Arabidopsis thaliana: one gene and its partners. The protein of the gene in region 1 purifies or fractionates together with the protein of each later gene. This does not show direct contact. Each region holds a gene or a part of one and is shown in the gene's direction. Other genes may lie near its edges.

Region 1 (5,955 bases):
TCTTAGCTGGTTCTGGTTCAGCAGGCTTCTTCTTTTCCTTTTTGGCATCCTTCTCTTTTGCTGCATTTTTCTTTGGTTCCTACACGAAAAAGGACAGAGGAGAACACCAGATTCAACTAATTAAAGAGACTCACAGTCATTGAAATCAAACTTAAAAGTTAAAATAAGTACCTCTGGCTCAGTTTTCTTTGTGCCCAGCTGCGGCTGCACATCTGGCTTGTCAACAGGCTTTACACCTTCTGCAGCTTTTTTTGAATTAGAATTTGTTTCCACCTTAATGGCAGGTTTTGGTACCTACGTTTAGAATAAATGAAAAAGATCAGAAAACCATTTTCTCATCGCATGTAATACATCTGAAAAAAGTAGCATGTTATTATTGTTTCTCAGTCTAAGAAAATGGGTATGAAAAGATAATTCACCTCGAAGCTAAATTCTGGTAGCTTCACAGGTATTGGTGCAAATAATGTCGACAACTCTTCTTTATTCTGTAAAATAATACGCAGCATATATTCGTAAAGCAGACAATCACAAGGAAAGAAAAATGTGAAAGGTGATGTTCAGAGAGTGCATATCTAGCTATAGTCACTAACGCCGTTACGCGTACACATAAAGTAGTCCTCCATGGATTTACAGGCTACCTCGGCGCAATCAAGTAACAAAACTTTATGATGTCGAACTTACCTGGATGTAATTCACCCATCTTATGACATGTGGTACTTTCTCCTTGTCTGAATCTGAGAGGCCAAGCTGGGAACAGCAAGTCAAACAGATAACAGTTAGTATTTAATACCTTTAGTCATCAGTTTATGAAAATTTGATCGTAGCATCTTTATCAAGTAACATAAAATTACTTATACAGGAACGAAAAATAAGTAGACTACGGAATATAGAGAAGTGGTACCACTGAAGAATGCAGAGCTGAAAACACAGCAACATCAGCTGCCGATGGCGTCAATCCGTTTCCCAAGAGCACTGACTTGGTAGCTAACTCTAAATTCAACTTTTCAAGAGCTGAAAACCAATCCTTTGAATCTGAAGAGAAACCTTCCGCAAAATCTAGCCACTTCAAAACCTGAAATAGGTTTTTACTCTTTAAAATGTGAAACAATGACGCATTATGCAAACGAAAGCCAACGAATCCTCATCATTTAGCATTACACAGAACTCAAACATACTAATTCATTTTTTTTCTAACGTGGTAGCAACGAGAAGGGAACTCAATAAATTCCCAGTAAGAGTTTGGCGTTTATGTCTATAGGAACCAAATTCAAGAAGAAACGACTTACATCGTTGTTTTGTGCAGATACTTCCTTTCCAGATGCCTTCAATACATTAGAATAAAGTGTCTTGATATCACTTTCACCCGCTCCGCCCACAAAAGGTTCCTAAACAAATGAATCAAATCAATTTCAGAAACAGAACCAATAAATCATCACAATGTAAAATCATAAAAGCCAATTTCTAAAGTTTTTTCCTTTTTCATGACCAGCTTGATGCATAAGCGTAAACACTGATAAGTCCAAAACATAAACTTTCTAATTGATTTCAGTACCCAATCAGATAATGTTCGAGTTTTCTCCACTAACTAATTCAAAAAATGATCATACACATACTCAGCTACCAAGCAAAACCTCACAAAAAAGCAGAAGCTTTTGAGATGTCATCTTCTTCAATACTTACAGGATCCAAAGAGAAGTGTTTGCAGAGAGCTGAAAGAATCATCTGCTTCGCCTTTGAATCCATCGTCAACTTCTTCTCTTTCTCTATTTTCGAAATTTTGTTCTTCTCTTTGGGGCTCTTCGCTGTAAGAAAACACACTGCAATTTCTTCGATAGGGTTTTTGCTTGATGTAACTAACGGTCCTAACGGACTTCCAACTAACGGCGTTATCTCCATCTATAATGGGCCTAGATATATTAGCAGCCCATTAATATGTTCTTACTATGGGCTTTACCACCGAAAGCAATCATTAATAAAATAAAATAAATGAATTAACTTCTCAGATTCTTCAAAGACCTAGAGTGTCTTCGTCTTCGACGACGGCAAATTCGTGGAAGCTGTTTCATCGATTCCGGCTTCACTGAAGCGGCGTCGCTCGACGTTTATTATTCCGACGACTAGGCCTTTGAGGCAGTTTCTGATTAACTTCAGGCGATAATGGCAAACAGAACAGATCCGTTGGCAAAGAATATAAGAGGAACGAATCCGCAGAATCTGGTAGAGAAGATTGTGCGAACGAAGATTTATCAGCACACCTTTTGGAAGGAGCAGTGCTTTGGTCTCACGGCGGAGACATTGGTGGACAAAGCTATGGAGCTCGACCATCTAGGTGGTACCTTTGGTGGTAGCCGCAAGCCTACTCCGTTCCTTTGCCTCATATTGAAGATGCTTCAAATCCAGCCTGAGAAGGAAATTGTCGTGGAGTTCATAAAAAATGATGACTACAAGTAAGATTTCTAACCAAAAGCTTATTTCTGCGTAATCTAGATTGGATACTGCTATTAGCCTTGTCGTAGTTGTTTCTCAAGTATACAGGTATGGAATGTCTCTCAAATCTATTGGTCTTAGATAATCTACTCTCTTAGTTTCTGCAGATATTTGTTCTTGAATTACTGAAATATTTACTCTTTTGGTTTCTGCAGATATGTTCGTATTCTTGGTGCGTTCTATCTGCGTCTCACTGGGACTGATGTTGATGTCTATCGCTACCTCGAACCTCTCTACAATGACTACCGGAAAGTGAGACAAAAGTTATCTGATGGGAGTAAGTTTCATTTTCTTTCGATGGATCCGTTGTGTTTAACTTTTGATTGATTTGTTCACTAACTAGATTTATTTCTTTGGTTTGGAATAGAGTTTTCGCTGACACATGTGGACGAAGTCATTGAGGAACTTCTAACCAAGGATTATTCTTGTGATATTGCAATGCCACGTTTGAAGAAAAGGTTTCTTCTTTTGCATTTGTCTGAAGCTGAATAATTAGTTTTTGGTTTCTGCAGTATTTTAAGATGGTTAATTTTTCACTCTGATGATAGGTGGACGCTTGAACAGAATGGTTTATTAGAGCCAAGGAAAAGTGTTTTGGAAGACGACTTTGAAGAAGAGGAAGAAAAGGAGGAGAATGAAGGGATTGCTGATGGATCTGAAGATGAGATGGTCAGTGCTTTCATTCTGCAATAGTTTTTATGTGATCTGTTTTCTGTTTCTATCTAGCAGCTCTAAGATGATACCATCTTCCTCCTCTTTTACAGGATCAGCGCCGTAAGAGTCCTGAAAGAGAAAGAGAAAGAGACAGAGACAGGAGACGCGACAGTCATAGACACAGGTATCTGAATCCGTGACCTTTACTAGATACATTTCTATGCTAGTTAACATTTTTCAAAAAAAAATTCTTTGTGATTGTGGAAGCTGTTTGATCTAGCTAATGCTCTTGCATCATGTCTAGTACTCTGTCTTTTGAGTGTCTGTTTCCACTATGGCATCTCAAGCCATCAGCGGTTGGATACAGCTTCCGAAATTAAATTTGTAGAGATCCTTCCAGGTTTCTCTGTACTGACAGTGTTCAGAGAGAAGTATTATGGATCAGACATTATTACAATCCTTACCCTGATACAGTATATGGTAGTTGTCATTGTGTTACTTTGAAAAAGATCAGTTAATCATGAGAGCACTTCCCATCTAGTTTTTAGCTCAATCAATGTTTTCTTTTTGTTACAGATTTTCATTATGATTGATGTTGAGACTTGAGCTCATTGTTTCATGAATTATAATTTGACCATGGTTCTGTGATTGGCAGGGATCGTGATTATGACAGAGACTATGATATGGATCGAGATCATGACAGAGACTATGAAAGAGAACGTGGGCATGGTCGAGACCGGGATAGGGAGAGAGACAGGGATCACTATAGAGAGCGAGATAGGGACAGGGAAAGAGGCAGAGATAGAGAACGAGACAGAAGAGACAGGGCAAGGCGCAGAAGTAGAAGCAGGAGTAGGGATCGTAAGAGACATGAAACTGATGATGTGCGGGATCGGGAAGAACCTAAGAAAAAGAAAGAAAAGAAGGAGAAGATGAAGGAAGATGGAACCGATCATCCAAATCCTGAAATTGCAGAGATGAATAGACTGAGAGCATCACTGGGAATGAAACCCCTCAGGGACTGAACTGTGAAATGAGGACATCTTTATCAAACCGAAACTTGGTTCATTTGCCCAGCTAAACCGGTTACTACACTGTGATCCTACTCACTATAGTTTTGGTTTTTTTGAGTTTACCTGATCCCTCTTTAATGTAGAACAAAATGGAGAATCTGTAATGGCATTGTACTGTATGTTCTCTAAACCGTAAACGAATTGTGGTCGAGAAATTCTGAATGTAACCCGGTTCTTGATATTAGTTGTTTTTAAGGTAATTCAGATAAATATAAAAACCTATATGTTATGTCTACGTGGCGATATCACTTTATGAGTCCATGTAAATCGGACCCACCAAAAGCTTATAGGTAAATGATACGGTTTCATAATCATTAACCATCACGACGCGCGTGCTACTCATGTCCCACTTACGACGACGTCGTTTTAAACTCTCTCTCTGTGCTCTTCCAGTCTCTATCGATCGCCTTCTGAATTTTCCGGCGGAAAAGCAAATGTCCGTTAACGACAGTATCGATCCTCGGTTCGTATTCCACGTTGAAGATGAATCTTTGCGTTTCCGTGTGGGAGATTCAGGTACTAAGATCCGGGAGCTCGAAACCGTCGGCGATCGCCATTTCAGAACCCAGCAAGGTTTCTGCGGAAATAGAATTGAGAAAGATGAAACCATGTATTCCGATGGAGATGATGAAGAGTACGACGTTTCTATCCGAAGACGAACTGCTCTGATTCAGCCTGGTATTGATTCCGGTAACAATTATGATTCTGCTGCAGCTGAAGAAACCAACAGAGAAAGTAAAAATCCAGGTATAATAATACTCTACATTACTTCTTTCACGACTACCGGAGATTCCAAGATTGTTGAAGCTAACGAAAAATTCTTTGGTTTTACTTAAGCTCAGTTGGTTGGGAACTGGTTGTGAGAGAAGATGGGGAAGGTAATTCAACGATTGATCGACATGAAATGGAGTTTAAGGTGAGGATCACTAAACCAGATGGTAACGTATCTAATTCCCACCGTAACACGCAACAAAAGCGAGATTTTGCTTCTGTGGAGAAGGAGAGAGTCACTACTACTAGTGTCAGCTCTTGGGAGTCTCTCAAGGCCATCCTCTCTGATCCTGTCACGTAAGTTTGTTAAGTCTGCTTGTCAATGGTCAGGGAATTTGATAACTAAGATCAGTTTAATTTTTGAATCTGAGTCAATGTCAATGTAACCTTGATGATTATTGTTGTGTGATGGAAAGTGTATCGTCTAGAAGGCTAATTCTTGTTAACATTCATAGAGATGATTTTTCTTTTCTGTTACTTTGGTTTGGATAGCGGAGCCTTGATGAATGATGCTACCATACTGCCTTGTGGACATTCTTTTGGCGCCGGGGGATTAAAAGAAGTTAAAAAAATGGTATATGACTGACTCTTAACCAGTCCATTTAATAAGGGTCTTCTTGCTTTTGTCTCATGTGAATCTTAATAATCTGAGTTTTGGTAATTTTTGTTGTTAGAAAGCATGTTTCACATGTTCCCAACCTACTTTAGAAGGATCAGAAAAGCCAAATCTCTGTGAGTTTCACGGCATTACTAGTTTCAGAGAAAGACTTCTATTCTTCTTCCTGATCAAGTTTATTGGCTTGTTCAGCTCTCAGAATTGTAGTTCATGCTTTCCGCCAAGAAGAAGATTCAGATCATATTCACACGCTGAAAAGAAGGAAAGAAAGGTCGGATCAGGTTTGTTTTTCCAATACACAGTAATCATGTGAGATTACATTAACAGTGAGAAATCAGATAAGCAGAGTTTCTT
Region 2 (5,111 bases), on another chromosome or scaffold:
AATTAAATTCTCACATAGTTGCAGAAATATGTCAAGAACCACCATCACCACGGCAACGGTGAATTTCGTCGGCCCGGGGCACCTCCTCTTAGACAAACATTTCCTTTGGTATTTCTTTTCAATCTTTTTTTTGGTTACAATCTCTTAACGGTATTGGAGGAAATATCATTATGGACATTAACGTATGTATTTAAACATATCTTATATATTTTCAAACTAAAGCTCAAATATTTTGTATATATATTTTTGTGTGTTGAAGAACTATAATACAAGACAAAAGCACCAAAGCAATTGGCAAAGGAGTAAAGGAGAGGATCGTATGCAAGCATTTTTCTTGGTTACACCGGGCCGTACAACTTCTGGCACCGGAGTTTTTCTTCCAGCCACGGCTTCTCATCCACCCACCAAAAAAACAGGTTATTTATTAATTACTCTATACTAAGTATTTATGAACACAAATAAAGGTGCATAATGTTTTCAATTTCATAAAATCAATTCTACCAACTGCATATACTAAAATTCTTTTAGTTTCAGGTTAAAGTTGATTTGACATGATTTTTAACTTACATTTTGTCGTTAAGTCGTTTTTTTTTTTTTGAAAATAATGTTCAAATTATATTCAAAAGAAAAATAACTTTTTTACAACCACTGCTTCTTGAGATTGAAGATTTAGAGCTAGACAAAATTTAGAAGAATTTGAAAATTTTTGATGATTTTTTTTGTCGTTTTTTGTTTTAAACATATATAAACACAAAAACCTCAATTCTTCGATTACTACGAAATATATCATGGATTCATACATCTATTACCATTTTTTTCTATCTATTTCGTAGCTTTTGTAGGACAATTGACATAAAGAAATTGTGATTTGTTGGTTTTTACGTTAGTCAGCCTTTACTATATAGACTCATTAATATATGATTTAATGTTATACAATTTTGATTGATGAAAACAAAATTCTCTTGTCATAGCTTGCTCACCGGTGCTTCTCCCGACTCGTGTAGTTCAAGCACTCAATCTTAACATTCACAACAACGGTATCCATATTTCTCCTCGTCCAGGTTCTTTTCCAACCATTATTTGTTCTCATCGACCGTTATTCAAATACATTGTGTTATATATTACAAATTAGTTTGAACTATAGATATATTTTGGTTGAAATTGGTAACATTGTTTCTTTTGAATGTAGAAATTAGAGAAAATGATTCGAAGAAGAAGAGCGAAATGTTGGCAACAACACCTATCAAGATTGAAGCAGAAAATCCTATTGATTCGCCGGAGAAACTTCTCCCCGAGGAATGGATTTATTGATGACCCAACCATTAGTATGGAAAAGTAGAATCAAATAAAATAAAATGAAAGATTCTTGTGTTGATGTTACAAAAGAAAAGAAAAGATTCTTGTGTTGATAAGAAAAGAAAAGATTCTTGTGTTGTATGCTTCGTCACCATTGGATTAGTAATAAAAATCCAAATAAGAGACTCTGTATATTCCATTCATAATGTAATATCCCCTATTTTCAGTTGAAAAATTTGCATAATTTAGTTGTCACAATTATTAATGGATTTAGGAAAAATTGGATCAACAATACCAAGATGAATGACTGGATTCGAACACCAACGTTACTATTGGGCTAAAAGGCCGAATCAAGAATACTAAAACCTTTTGTTTTTTTACTATTTAGCTAGCTAATGATGAAATTTTTTATCATTGTATTGTTAATTTTGACTAAACAAAAGTTTTAAACAGTTTTTTTTCAAAACTAAACAAAATGTGATTGATAAAAGATAAATTTCTAAAGTGAGTGATTAGATTCCGCAAATCAGATTATTTGAGTTAATTATTCTGTTTCTTTCATTTGGGGTTGTTTTTGTTCAATAAAAAGTTGAGAAGGGTGTTATTGATAAGTTCAAAACAAATAGGGTATAACCAAACATTCAAGGAAGTAAGAGACCGTCGGTGTGAAGCAGAATCCATAATTGGGGACTTAAACATAAATTCCCCTATTGCTGCTTTTCCTCCTCCCGCTCTTGCTTCTTGCCATTGCTGTTTCGAGCTCTCCTCAAAGCCCTAATTTTCTCCTCTTCTTCTTCATTCTCTCACCATGAAGCTCGTCAGGTATGGTTTCTACTCGGATTCTCTTTATTTCTTCGGTTTAATTGGAATTTGCTTCGAAATTTTGAGATTTCTCTTTGTTTTCATGCTCTTCGATGTTTGATTTCGTATCTGGATTTTTTCGCAGGTTTTTGATGAAATTGAACAACGAAACAGTTTCAATCGAGCTTAAGAACGGAACCATTGTTCATGGAACCATTACTGGTACGCTTCTCTTAAAAACCCAGCTCTATTCGCTGTTTAGGGTTTTGTGTAAAATCTACGATGCTTACCTGTAATCGATGGTTACTCGCGTATTCACAAATTCTGATGGTGTAGTTTGAGTTTAGCTAGTGTCTTTCCCCTAATAATGCTTTGTTGGTATTAACCCTAGTGACACTGGTCAAGTCAGATGCAGATGAGTACACTAGATTTTACTTGAATCGAGGTTTATGAGATAGTTTAGTTCTTCTTCAAACTTTGATCACCCATGAGGTAGTTTACTTTCTCCTTTGATGGTTGTAACCAATGGAGCTCTCGAATTTACTAATTCTGATGTGTAATTCTGTTAATAGACCTAGAAATGCATTGTGGGTGTTGAATCTCTCTTGTTTGCAATAAGTGAATGATAATGGTGGTCTAGTCAGATGGAGATGATACATTTTATTTTGCTTTATAGTTGGGTGTATGAGAATGCTTAGTTCTTCTGGGAGTGAGTTTAGCACATGATTATATATGAGATAGTTTACTTTAGTTTCCCTCTTTATCATTGTGGACCTCTCTTGTTAACAAATCCTGAGGCTTAATTCTGTTATTAGTGATAGTATCTGAAGAAGTTAGAGTTTAGCTGAGTCTTAATTATTTTTTTACCTCGAAATGCTTTGTTGGTAACCCTCTTGTTAGCAAGAACTGAGTGATACTTGTCGAGTCAGATGCAGATGATTAGATTTAGCACATGAAAGTCACTCTTATCTCTTTCCTTGTAAAGAAAATCTCTGATTTTTCACAGAACAGTTACCGTGTGGCTTCTTGTTTCAACTTCTCTTTTAGTCTGATTGATCTAATACAAGTGGTCTCTGCTGTTAATGTTTGGTTTGGTTTCCTTTTTCTGCCATCATCTTGTTTAGAATGCAATTATCAATCAACTCACTGACTGGTACTATCTACTTGTGATGACTTAATGCAGGTGTAGATGTTAGCATGAACACTCATTTAAAAGCTGTGAAACTCACTCTGAAAGGGAAGAATCCAGTTACATTAGACCACTTAAGTGTCAGGGGAAACAACATTCGCTATTATATTCTTCCGGACAGTTTGAATCTGGAGACTTTGCTGGTTGAAGACACTCCAAGAATCAAACCCAAAAAGCCAACTGCAGGTAACAAAACATTTCTTTTTTCTGAACTATGCCTTTGTTTTTGTTTTTGTTTTTGCTTAGACTCATCTTTCTATTGTTCTCTTTGGTATCAGGTAAGATTCCAGCAGGTCGGGGACGTGGTCGTGGAAGAGGTCGTGGACGTGGCCGTGGTGGTCGTTAAGCATTTTGCAGTAATCAAAAGTCTGGTCCTTTTTGGTTTGTAACAGCAGGATTGTAAAAGATCTATCTTGTAGTGAGATTTGGTGTCACTAAGACAAATTCTTGTTATCTCTTTAAGTTTTCATGAATTTGAGATTTGAAACGTTATTGCCAAACATACATCACTCAATATGTTTTATTATTGACTTGATCACTTTATTACATAGTCTGATAAAACGTGGGGAGTTCGAGAAATCAAAATCTTGACCTTATTTTTCAAGACTTTGGCAAAGAGTCGAAAGATTAAACTAAGATAGAGCCTTTCATGACAGTCACAGCTTTCCCGGTAAGCAAGACTCTCTGCTTCTCCTTATCATAATGAACCTTGAGTGTTCCACTTCTTTGCGAAGCCTGAAAAGAAATTCGTTGATTCGTTAATATGTGTGATTATTTCTTGCTTCGAAATGTTAGTTAGCTAGTTACAGAGAAAGATGAATTACCGCAAAAGCGACGAAATCACACTTGTTCATCTTGAGGCTCCAGTAATGTGCTAATGAACAATGTGCACTTCCACATACAGAGTCCTGAAGGAACAAAAGCACCAAGCAAATAAGGTAACGGTAAACACTTTTGGTAACGGCTACCACAAGTAAAAAGCAGAGAATTGCTCCCATGCACGAAGTTGCAGGTTAGTTTCTTAACCTCATTGAGCCCTAGTTTAGGAGCAAAGAGTCGACTGCAGAAGTCAAAAGGAGATCCTTGAGGAGCAGCAGCGGTAACAATCATCACTTTGCCAGGGCATTTCACGATATCATCCACTCTTGGCTGAAATTCAATGACAGATTCCCAAGATGAAAGCACAACCTGTAATCAAATCATATAAATAAGCAAAAAATAGAAAGTTCACAAGTTTTCTTTCTAAGGAAATCTGAAATACATACGATGATTTGGTCTGTTGAAGTTGTTTTGAAAGCTCCTATCAAGGGTTTAAAGATGAGTCTATCAGTTTTAGTTTCTCGAACATCGACAATGGTAGCTCCATTCAAGGCTTTAGAGAAGATGGAGACATCCTTGGAGCTGTACTCACAAGTTGTAATCACAGGGAAATTCATTTCGATCAAGAAAGATCTTTTAGAGTCACAATCAGACAGCCTTTTAGCGGTTAGAATCCCCGAGTTGGTGGAAAATTCGACAGTGTCAGATGAACCAACCAAACTGTTTGAGAAGATACTATGAGCTGATGCTAGTGTTGCATGACCACATATATCCATCTACAAAATCAAATAAATCGAACATTGTACAAAATGGAACGGAGGGAGTAATAAAATACAAAAATGTTTGCAAGATGGACCTCGGCTACAGCCGTGAACCACCTCAGAAGGAAACGTGGTGGTTCGGAGCCGGGGATGGGAATAAGAAAACACGTCAATGGAAGGTCAAACTCAGAGGCCATAGACTGAAGCCACACGTCGTCTCTCTCATGATCCTCTTCAAGAAAACA
Region 3 (5,474 bases), on another chromosome or scaffold:
AGGGCAAAAAAACATAAGACCAGAAGTAAGTGCGTGACTTTCACTTTTGCCTTAAAGTGATTGACGGCGCGTAAGATCTAATTTCGTTATTTTTTAAGACAAATGAAATGGGCTTTTTACCGAACATTACATATGTAGGCTTGCTTGCAGCAGACACGACCCATTTCAGCCCAAGTTTTTTTTTTTTTTTTTGGTTTTGAACAAATCATCCGCTTTTTAGTCCACTGGTTAATCAGAGAAATTAGGGGATGTATTGAATTTTGAAGTATTTTGTAAGAGTTTGATTTATTTCCAACTCCATGTCATTCTTCTTTTTAGTATGTTATTCATGTTACATGTTATTCAAATATGATTTTTAAAATGTCTTCCTAAATCTTATGATATTCAAATTCAATAACTATGTTACTACAATTTTTTCTTGGACAAATATGTTATGAGACTTTTAGATACATTTTAGTTATAAATATGAATCAAATACATTTTAGTTCTAGAAGAAAAAACCAGATCTATAAAGTTTGTTATTAAAAGATAGAGAGAGAGGAGGGATGTAGTAGGCCAATAGGCAAATCAGAGAATCACAAATGGTATCTGGTCAAGAAGATTCCTGGTTAAAACTTTCATCTCTCTGTTTCCTTTTTCTTTCTTTGTTGGATTCATTAATTTGACATATCTCTATCATCACACTGATTCTCTTTCTCCCAGTTTGTCTGCAGATGCATGTGTGTAATCTAGGGTATATGTTTTTGTCCATTTGGTTTCATAAGGCAATAAAGATCCAGCTATTTACTACTTGTGGTATAGATTTTGACTGTTGAATTTTCAGATCTGATGTGTTTCGTTTGATCCGATTCGGAAAATTTATGTTTCGTTGACATTTTGGAGTTTAGTTGGAAGAAGAGTGAGAGTCGCTGGAGGCAGCGGTTCATCGATCTCTTCCTGTGAACACATTAAAAATGTAAAAGCATGAATAGATCGATAAACCTCTGCATCCAGCGTTTGCCTCTTGTATCTTTCTTATTGACTTGAATCTTTTTGTTTATTGGTTTTTGAAAGAAGAAAAAAGTGAGGGAAAACAGAGTCAAGTCCGATTACTTTTCTGGGAAAGCTGAGGATTTTGTGTTCTTAGAGAGCAGATGAAGAGGTGACTGTTGTTTCTGGTGAGAATTCGACCTCTTTAGTTTGTTTGTTTTTTCAGTTAATGAAGTGCTTGTTATTGAAGTGTGTAGTTGACTGATAAGCGCCTTAGCTTTATCTTAATGTTTATCAAGTAGATTTGGCGTTGGATAATTAAAAAGAAGTTCAGATTCTTGTAGGTTGCTTACTTCGTCTGACCAAACAATGTTCCTGAAAAAGTGTTGTGTTTTGTTTCATGTATCAAAAAGTCTAGCTTCAAAATTTTCTTGCTTTTTTCCAACATGCAAGATTTCTCTTTATAAATCGGTACATTTGTAGGTACAAATCGGTACAAATTTGCCATTGTATAAATCGGTACAAATTTTCCTGTGTTCTTGTAACAATGCCCTTTATACATTTGTAGGTGAGATAGAAGTTGGCATCTAAATTTGCTTTCTCTGGACCAGTGAAATCAATTGCAGTCTCCTATATATTGTAGTAGGCGATGTATCAGTGGTGAAGCGAGGATGACATCTGTGGGTACTTGTTCTTAATCCTTCACTCTGATATCTATGCTTTAGAAGCGTTTCAAGTTCATGAAGCTGATTTGATGTTGAGTTTTTAACAACAAGAATCAATTCACTCCAAAAATATGTAAACTCTGCCATGCCTTGAGCTGCTTTTTGGATTATCCACTGTTTTGTTTTGTGATTAAGTTCATTATTTTCTACTATATATGATGAAACCGAAAATTGTTAATTGCTAACGCAAACACTGATCTCCATCCCCATGATATTCCTACGTACTTATTGACCCGACAATGACATTCAAGCTCCAAACATCAATCTTCACTTATGGCTTTTTGTTAGTTGTTTGTACATTTCCTCAAGCAAGTTAGAAACACGTTTTGGTAATAGAATCATACTGTTTTTTGGTAATATATATAGATAATGGATGTCATGGATAAAGCAAAATCACTTGGTGAAGTTTTTAAAAAAGTCTTTTCATCTGAGCATCCGATAAAAAACCTCATACTAATCGTTGGAATTTATTTGCGAGAATGTGGTTAAATAACATTCACCAGCTACAGTAACTAACATTATCTTAAGGAAAATTTGATTTTTTTTTTTTTTTTTGGTCGGATTTGATTTTTTTGATTTTCAAGCTAAACAACATACAATATCTCAAAGTCAAAAGTCAATGAATGTAGCAAATCTTAGTCTGTATGAAGGCCCAAATAATTGGGCCATTATATGCAACCAGTTTACCTCATTAACAAGCCCATATGAAATTAGGGTTCCTATATTTTACTGGTCAATAATACACTTCTCTATAAAAACCCTAACACTTCTGGTCATATAACAACCGCCTAAACCCTAGTTTTTTCCGCCACACTCTTCCGCCATTATTTTTGTTACTTGGAGCTAGCTAGCTAAAAAATATGGGAAGCGATACCGAAGCAGAGAAGTCGATTCAAAAGGAGAAGAAGAAGTACGCTATTACTCTTGCTCCTATCGCTAAACCTCTCGCCGGCAAAAAACTCCAGAAGAGAACTTTCAAACTCATTCAAAAAGGTACCAATCTCAGTTCCAAGCTCGCTTCACATCTCTCTATCTTCTTTATTTCTCATTATATATTGATTAGTAGCTCATGTTGGTGTATTGCTCTGTAATTTTTGTCAGCTGCTGGGAAGAAATGTTTGAAGAGAGGAGTTAAAGAAGTGGTTAAGAGCATAAGACGAGGCCAGAAAGGGTTAGTTTTTTCATTCTTTGTCTTTTTATTGAGTGTGATTTATGATTGTTTTGTGTTGCAGATGGCTTAGCTGATGTATATGTGTTGATGTTTTGTGTTATTAATTGATTAGTTGATGTTATTGTCCTGCAAATTGCTTAGTTAGTTTTGAAATCCGTGTACAAATAAGCCGATGCTCTGGATTAAAGTAATGAATGTAGCATGGTACTGTACACGGAAACTGAACTATGGATCGACATGTCTGCCATCTCTGATTTTTTCCCTGATTAGACGGCCTGGTTTAGATCCACATTCTCTGTTTGTGTTGTGATTATGTTTGTGAAAACGGTAACATGTTCTTCTATGATCATTCATGATGTTATCTACTAGTGTAAGCTCTTTATTTAGCTGATTTTGAAAGCCGTCTACAATTAAGCCGATGCTCTGGATTAAAATAGAATGAAGGAAGCATGGTACTGTGCACGGAAACTAAACTATAGATCGACATGTCTGCCATCTCTGATTTTTCGTGATGAGACGGCCTGGTTTAGATCTACATTCTCTGCTTTTTGTTACTTATTATGTTTGTTTTCATTGATGTTATGATAGTTGTTTGCATAGTTGATGTTATATCCGTGTACAATTAAGCCGATGCTCTGGATTAAACAGAATGATTGTAGCATGGTACTGTGCACGGAAACTGAATCATGGGTTTCAAATGTCTGTGCCTGCTCTGAGTTCCTTATTGGTTCTTTGATTTGCGGGCCTGATTTGAACCCACATTTTTACATTTCTAATTGTTTTTTCCTTCTTCTACGCAAACAGTAAATTCTTTTATGTTTTGAATGTTGTATCTGATGTGATACGTTTGTGTTTGTGCAGATTATGTGTAATAGCTGGAAACATTTCACCTATTGATGTTATTACTCATCTTCCAATCTTGTGTGAGGAGGCTGGTGTTCCTTATGTATACGTTCCTTCAAAAGAAGTAAGCCAATTTTCTTTCTTGATTTCTATCATCTTACCAATTAATCGGTTTTGTGGTGCTAAGATATTCAATATTTTTTTTATGAAATTCAGGATCTTGCGCAAGCAGGGGCAACGAAACGACCAACATGTTGTGTCTTGGTAATGCTTAAACCTGCGAAAGGAGATTTAACTGCAGAAGAACTTGCAAAGTTAAAGACAGACTACGAACAAGTCTCTGACGATATTAAGGAGCTAGCAACTTCTGTAATCTGATTAGAAACTAGAATGGGTGTTCCTCTTGTGCTTTTGATGGTTAATGAATATCATCATATTTACGGCATCGGATATTACTTTGGACTATTTAAGGTTTTTGATATTGTAGCGCTAATCGATTGTAAAAGTTTGAATCATGAATCCTATGGTTTCATCTGGTTAGTGCTCTCTTTATGGCGTTTTTTTAAATCTCCTCCTTACGTGTTTAGTCATTGTCTCCTTACGTGGTCAGTACTTAGTCATGTCTTCGTGCTATCGATTGGTTATTACATCATTATTTATTATACAGACTAATTTAGTTTTTGTTAATAATCAACATTAAGTTATACACAACTTTTATTTGGCATAGCTATATATCTTTTTGAATTGTTATGTTAGAAGTTTGTTGAAATGAAAGATTACGGTTGAAATGACAATAAAAACAAGAAAAGAAAAAGAAAAATATCAAAACAACTTTTGTCGTGTTTGGGTCACTAGATTGGGTTTAGGATTCCGATTCTGCTCGCCTCTGGATTCTGATTCCGCTCACCACTAATAGTGGGGTCGTGCCCGGTCGTGTAATGAGCATAAGTTTCAGTCGAATAGTTAAAAAGATGGGGTCCAACTGTAAGAAAATATATTCTATACGGGTCTCTTAAGAAAACTGAGAAATTGTTTCGGAATCTTTTTGTGTACCTTTCTTTTTTTTTCTCTTCTTGGTCAGAAAAAGAAGTATTAGGAATCAATAACGCATACGGTATACACATCAGTTTAAAGCTTACATCTGACTTCTCTCTCACAAAAACATCGTGAAGAATGGAGGAGTCACGAGAATCGCCGGCGGAACACGGCTACTACATGCCGGCGGAATGGGATTCTCATGCTCAAACTTGGATCGGTTGGCCTGTAATTCTCTATCTCTCTTCCTCTTTTCTTTTTTTTTCATGTTTTATTCATTAACCTGAGATAAAGTAAAAATTGACGGCGATTCTGGAGAACTCAATCTCGCTGTTCAAAAATCAAACTTCGATTTCGATTTTGTCCTTTTTTTTTTTTTATATGGATCCTGCTCGTAGTTTATCATTGTTCGAATTGCTGTTTTCTGTTTATTTGATGATTTCTCTGCTTCCTGGTTCGTTTTTGTAGAGTTTCCGATAAATTTTGTATAGCTTCTGTATGTCAAGTTAGCATCTAGATGTGACATGAGATGAGATCTTTTACATTGCAATCTATCATGGTTACAGATTCTGCAACCAAATCAGAATTTAAAGCATTTTCAGTTAGGTTGTTTGTTTCGATTTGTTTCATCACTGAATACATGAATCAAACCTCAAACCACTTTTGTGATTTTGAAATCTGGATTATAATTCTGTCATAATATGGCTGCAGGAACGGCAAGATAACTGGCG
Region 4 (4,692 bases), on another chromosome or scaffold:
TTCAGGGACCAGAGAAAACAACCGATCCTGACAAAAGCAATATCTGTTATCCTACACACACACAATATAAAAGTCATTGACATACCACCGCTTGTGCCATCTCAACAAACACCATTTCACTAGTCTATATGGGCTCCATCATCTGAACAAGAACCATTCAATTGTTGGCTTTTGGCATCAGCAATCCTCGCCGCACTTCAGTCATGTAATCCGTTGGCGATGGAGGAGGTAATGTCTTGTTTGCTGCAGCCAGGATCTGTAATTGTTTTGACACAAAACAAGAGATGGGGTCTCATCATTCATGTACTCACATCTTTAGAAAAACTAGAAGCATATGATAAGAGTTTGAAGTTAGTTCCACCTGATGAGGTAGTTTACCCCAAACACTCCCTCCATAGTACATGATTGGTCGCACTGTGAAACAGAGAAAGTAGGCAAACTTGAAAATCAGTTATACTTGACTAACCGGAAGACAGAGATCCAGATAAGAACATAGATATATCTGATTGTATTTGGAGGCAACTCAAGCAGCACAAGTATAATAGACACAAAGGACAAAGGAAAACTTAGAATCCCTTAATCTCACCAGATAGATCCACAGTTGGGTCGTCGTATTGATGCATTTCAGCTGCCCATCCTGTTCATGACAAATCAAGAGCACGTAAATAAGACAAGTACATAAAACTGACTGCATAAGCAGTGAATTCAACACACCTTATCTATTAAGTTCAAAGATTTCTAAAACTAGCACTGACTCAACAAATGCTTAGCATAGCAACAGTTGATAGAAGAACGACCAGATAGTGATACAGAGCAAAGAATAAACCAGCTAAATGTTTAAAGAGATAGTTCAGATTTATACGTTGGCTCATGAGCTGATAAGCTGCACTCCTGGAGCAGTCCTTTATTGTTATTATCCTCTGGGTCTGGGATATGTTTTCCATCTGAAGACCAGTAGCAGGAGGCTGATTTCTCTCATTATCGTTGTTCTGTTGGCTACTTGTTCGATCTGCATTTCACTCTTTATTTAGCCAAGAACCATAGCATACTAGCAAAACCAGATATAGCTTGAACGACGATTTATTTTCAAGAAAACAGGCAAACAAATGGGTCAAGTACACACATGGAGAAATGAATCAACCAGCGGATTTGCTAATAAAGAGAGAGCGAGATCTGAATTTCAGGCTAAACTCCTAATAATTCACTTTCTTAGAAACGGTTCTTGAAGTTACCAACTATGCACAAACACAATGTGTACAGATTCGCATGCAATCAATTCCTGAATCTACAAAACAAGATTACTTCTATTCATCGACAATCTTTGATCTAAGCTATAATCTCCACAGAACTAGATACTCTCGGAATTAAGAACCGAATTGATTAAGAATCAATAAAGAACGACTGAGGCAAAGAAGACAGAGAGAGAGAGAGAGAGCTCACATACCTCCCGACTTCCGGCGATTCCCAGAAGCCTTCCTGTGACACGGAGAAGCAACATCGAAAGGTAAGAACGGAGTAGCGAAATCAGTAGAATAAAGAACACTCGAAATCAGCAGATCAAAGACCACTGAAGAAGAAGAAGAAGAAGTTACCTTTGATTAGGAGGAGTGTATCGATTCTGATTGGAGCTCGAATCCGCCATTGACGAGTTAGGATTTACGCAGTTTTTTCAGAGAACTCTCTCTCTCTCTCTCTCTCTCTCTACCGGAGGAGATCTGTCAACAGTCAACTGTTTAACGCATAGAGAACGTTGAAAAGCGTCTTCTCGTCTGAAGTCGTTCAATCTTCACGCGCGAATTCTTCGACGCGTGTTTATCAACCTCTCGCGCGCTTTTATTACGCCTTTCCGAAATTAACGTTTCGTGTTCAATTTCCGGTTTGCTGAACCAACTGTATGTAGATTTCTGGTTGAAACATCTACTGGTCCACCATTGGACTTTATGGGCCTTACTACATTTTTGGGCCCAATATTGTAATTTAGCTGATGGATCCAAAACCGGAATCGGATCTGTACCCGCTCCATCGTGAGGTCTCTCACAGCGAAAGAAGGGTTTTGAGGGTTTTCACACCTTTCGCTGTTTCCTCGTCAATTTCTTTGTTTGGTTGTTCTTTCTTCGCATCCAAAGATGAAGCTCGTCAGGTACTGTTTCGTTCTCAGTTCTTCTTTTCTTTAGAAAATTCATGTTGTTCTTAATCTTAGTTAGCTCCTGGCATGGAATCCATTCCCAATATTGAGCCTGAGCTGATTTGTGTTATATGGTTTTGATTGGATCGAGTAGGTTTTTGATGAAGTTAAACAATGAAACTGTGTCTATCGAGCTGAAGAATGGGACTGTGGTCCATGGAACCATCACTGGTAAGTTCTTATTGTTAGCTTCCGGTTTCTTTGTAGCTCTTCTCATCTTTTCTTCTCTCTCGATTTCTCCGTTGCTAGGTCTTATACAAGTCGCGATCTGTTCCCTTATTTTCAATTGGCCCTAATCGCGTCCTTGTGATCACATGAATAGGTTGAGTAAACACACAGTTAGAGCCAGTAGTCATAAAGGTATATTTATTGAAGTTTAAGCTTGATGATTTGGGCAGGTGTTGATGTGAGCATGAACACTCACTTGAAGACAGTGAAGATGAGCCTGAAGGGGAAAAACCCAGTAACACTTGATCATCTTAGCTTGAGGGGTAATAATATTCGCTACTACATTCTTCCTGATAGCTTGAACCTCGAGACTTTACTTGTGGAAGACACTCCTAGAGTTAAACCTAAGAAGCCTGTTGCTGGTACTGCTTCATTCATTTTTGGTGTTTGTAATATTCGTCTTCATAAGCTAAAAGACTTCTTTATCAGTCCATTTATTCGTTCTCTCTTTCTTTCTTCTTTAGGGAAAGCTGTTGGACGCGGTCGCGGACGTGGCCGTGGGCGTGGTCGCGGCAGAGGTCGTTAGATGTAGCAGCGCTCTGGAACATGTTGAAGGTTTGTGAGTTTAATTTTTAGGAGAATGTACGAGTTATGTAACTAGCAACTCTGGCAAAGGAAAGATTTGATTGAGAAATAGTATGATTGATGCTCTAGTAAGGAGTTACTTTGTAATGGAATTCCATGGATAACAAGATTTGGCTTTACATGTTATAAGAGCATCTACAAGTAGAGAATTTGTGTGATACTGATAGCTCAAGACTTTTTATTCATTTAACAAATCTGACTATCAAATTGCATTAACATGTTGACAATCTTAGTATAGAAAAACTGCTATCTCCTCCGTTAATCTTCCACATGAAACCTATCTCACATGATCCTGCAATTGGGATCTTGATTGTAAACGGGTTCCCCGATCTGATTGTAGGGATCACACGGGTAGGGATAGGAAGATGGCACACCATATCCATCATGAGGCCATGGTTGATAACATGGCTCAGGTTTTTGCCATGGTTGACAACATGGCTCAGGTTTCTTCTCTTCAGGTTTCTTCTCTTCGGGTTTCTTCTCTTCGGGTTTCTTTTCTTCTTCTGGCTTTTTGTCACCATCCTTAGGTGGTTCAACTTTAGCTACGCTAACAAGCTCCGCAAATGCAACTTTTTTCCTGAGTGTGTTGATTAGAGCAATCATATCGACTTCAACACCGGTCACCTCAATCTGGTTCCTGTGATCTCCCTTTATTTCCACAGCGTTCACGCCTATAAACCAATGCGATAAATCTTTAGATTCAACAAGAATTACAATCATCAAGTTCTCTAGTGTTTGTATCATTGTTACCTTTAAACTGAACCGCAGTTTTCATTGCCTTTGCTCGAGTTGTGTCATCAGTCATAGCAATTCTTATCAGGATCTTTTGCTGAGTACAATAAGAGAACTCCTTAACATCACAAAGAGAAGTCTCTCTCTTTCACAAGAGAATCGAAGTTATTACTTGTTGTTGAGTACACAGGAGACATACCTTCATGTTATTGTCTTCTGAGAATCCGCGTGATTTGTTTGATGGGAGTTTGCTCCGAACTTTTTTGTGTCTTCTTCGATCACAAATTAGAGGAAATATAAATAAGGATCGATTTTATATATTCATTTGTTCCATGAGTCGTTGTCTCACACAACGGAATCCGATAGTTTGAATATCGTTGTCAGGTTCATATCTTCGGTCCTTACGTGTTTTATTGGTTCTAGTTGCCGATTCGTACGAGCTTATTACCAATTTTTTAATTTTAAAAAGCCTAACAAAAATCTTTATTTGATTGAGTCAAAAAATTAGATGAAATAGTTATTTGACTGGGTCAAAATAAATTGATTAAATAATGGTAAACAACACAAATAATATTTGTTTACTACACCGTTGCCTGGTAGTTTTAGACATGTATGGCAAAAGACTTAATAATTTTTGAGTCGATATGTCAATTATGATGATTAATAAGTTTTGTTTGTTCATCATCCAGTTGTGCATAACAATGAATAGAACAGATGCGTTAAAAGTCTTGGTCTTCTCTAGAGTACATGTTTCCCTCTAACTTCCTTCTCAATAAAAAAAAAGATTAACTTGACTACTAATCTGTCATCCATCTGTATTAACAAATGTTATATGCTTGACTTGCAATACGTACTTTCGCAATCATATTGCAGTTTTCTAACGTAATGAAACAATAAGCTTTTAGTTTATACTAATGTGTGTTGTCTAATGCTAATTTGACTTTAATTTCTTAACACATTAC

What was found.
Region 2: the proteins of AT2G40650 (region 1) and AT4G02840 fractionate together in Arabidopsis thaliana (co-fractionation; one large-scale study listed by BioGRID). This does not show direct contact.
Region 3: the proteins of AT2G40650 (region 1) and AT5G08180 fractionate together in Arabidopsis thaliana (co-fractionation; one large-scale study listed by BioGRID). This does not show direct contact.
Region 4: the proteins of AT2G40650 (region 1) and AT3G07590 fractionate together in Arabidopsis thaliana (co-fractionation; one large-scale study listed by BioGRID). This does not show direct contact.

What each region holds. Positions count from the first base shown.
Region 1 is NC_003071.7:16,961,799-16,967,753, reverse strand, and holds AT2G40650 (PRP38 family protein), read left to right. Parts: upstream 1-1,955; 5' UTR 1,956-2,157; coding exon 2,158-2,447; intron 2,448-2,642; coding exon 2,643-2,764; intron 2,765-2,854; coding exon 2,855-2,945; intron 2,946-3,035; coding exon 3,036-3,156; intron 3,157-3,251; coding exon 3,252-3,325; intron 3,326-3,796; coding exon 3,797-4,166; 3' UTR 4,167-4,468; downstream 4,469-5,955. Other genes in the region: AT2G40660 (Nucleic acid-binding, OB-fold-like protein), read right to left, coding at 1-79, 172-294, 420-485, 682-747, 902-1,072, 1,287-1,385, 1,681-1,743; AT2G40640 (RING/U-box superfamily protein), read left to right, coding at 4,556-4,961, 5,057-5,282, 5,478-5,559, 5,660-5,717, 5,794-5,882. UniProt on the Arabidopsis thaliana protein: Probably required for the first pre-mRNA cleavage reaction catalyzed by the spliceosome.
Region 2 is NC_003075.7:1,262,622-1,267,732, forward strand, and holds AT4G02840 (Small nuclear ribonucleoprotein family protein), read left to right. Parts: upstream 1-2,005; 5' UTR 2,006-2,104; coding exon 2,105-2,118; intron 2,119-2,242; coding exon 2,243-2,319; intron 2,320-2,512; coding exon 2,513-2,542; intron 2,543-3,280; coding exon 3,281-3,472; intron 3,473-3,564; coding exon 3,565-3,632; 3' UTR 3,633-3,838; downstream 3,839-5,111. Other genes in the region: AT4G02830 (uncharacterized protein), read left to right, coding at 19-108, 260-416, 972-1,061, 1,190-1,311; AT4G02850 (phenazine biosynthesis PhzC/PhzF family protein), read right to left, coding at 3,914-4,021, 4,111-4,194, 4,313-4,474, 4,552-4,881, 4,962-5,111. UniProt on the Arabidopsis thaliana protein: Involved in splicing regulation.
Region 3 is NC_003076.8:2,630,455-2,635,928, reverse strand, and holds AT5G08180 (Ribosomal protein L7Ae/L30e/S12e/Gadd45 family protein), read left to right. Parts: upstream 1-2,078; 5' UTR 2,079-2,250; exon of another isoform or gene 2,251-2,493; 5' UTR 2,494-2,554; coding exon 2,555-2,687; intron 2,688-2,795; coding exon 2,796-2,865; intron 2,866-3,005; exon of another isoform or gene 3,006-3,159; intron 3,160-3,263; exon of another isoform or gene 3,264-3,405; intron 3,406-3,512; exon of another isoform or gene 3,513-3,629; intron 3,630-3,726; coding exon 3,727-3,832; intron 3,833-3,924; coding exon 3,925-4,086; 3' UTR 4,087-4,413; downstream 4,414-5,474. Other genes in the region: EMB1873 (porphyromonas-type peptidyl-arginine deiminase family protein), read left to right, coding at 4,882-4,971, 5,455-5,474. UniProt on the Arabidopsis thaliana protein: Required for ribosome biogenesis. Part of a complex which catalyzes pseudouridylation of rRNA. This involves the isomerization of uridine such that the ribose is subsequently attached to C5, instead of the normal N1.
Region 4 is NC_003074.8:2,421,020-2,425,711, forward strand, and holds AT3G07590 (Small nuclear ribonucleoprotein family protein), read left to right. Parts: upstream 1-2,031; 5' UTR 2,032-2,126; coding exon 2,127-2,140; intron 2,141-2,279; coding exon 2,280-2,356; intron 2,357-2,434; exon of another isoform or gene 2,435-2,570; coding exon of another isoform or gene 2,571-2,583; coding exon 2,584-2,775; intron 2,776-2,877; coding exon 2,878-2,939; 3' UTR 2,940-2,968; downstream 2,969-4,692. Other genes in the region: AT3G07580 (uncharacterized protein), read right to left, coding at 158-256, 362-414, 587-637, 863-1,009, 1,445-1,476, 1,593-1,642; AT3G07600 (Heavy metal transport/detoxification superfamily protein), read right to left, coding at 3,281-3,669, 3,749-3,827, 3,930-3,935. UniProt on the Arabidopsis thaliana protein: Involved in splicing regulation.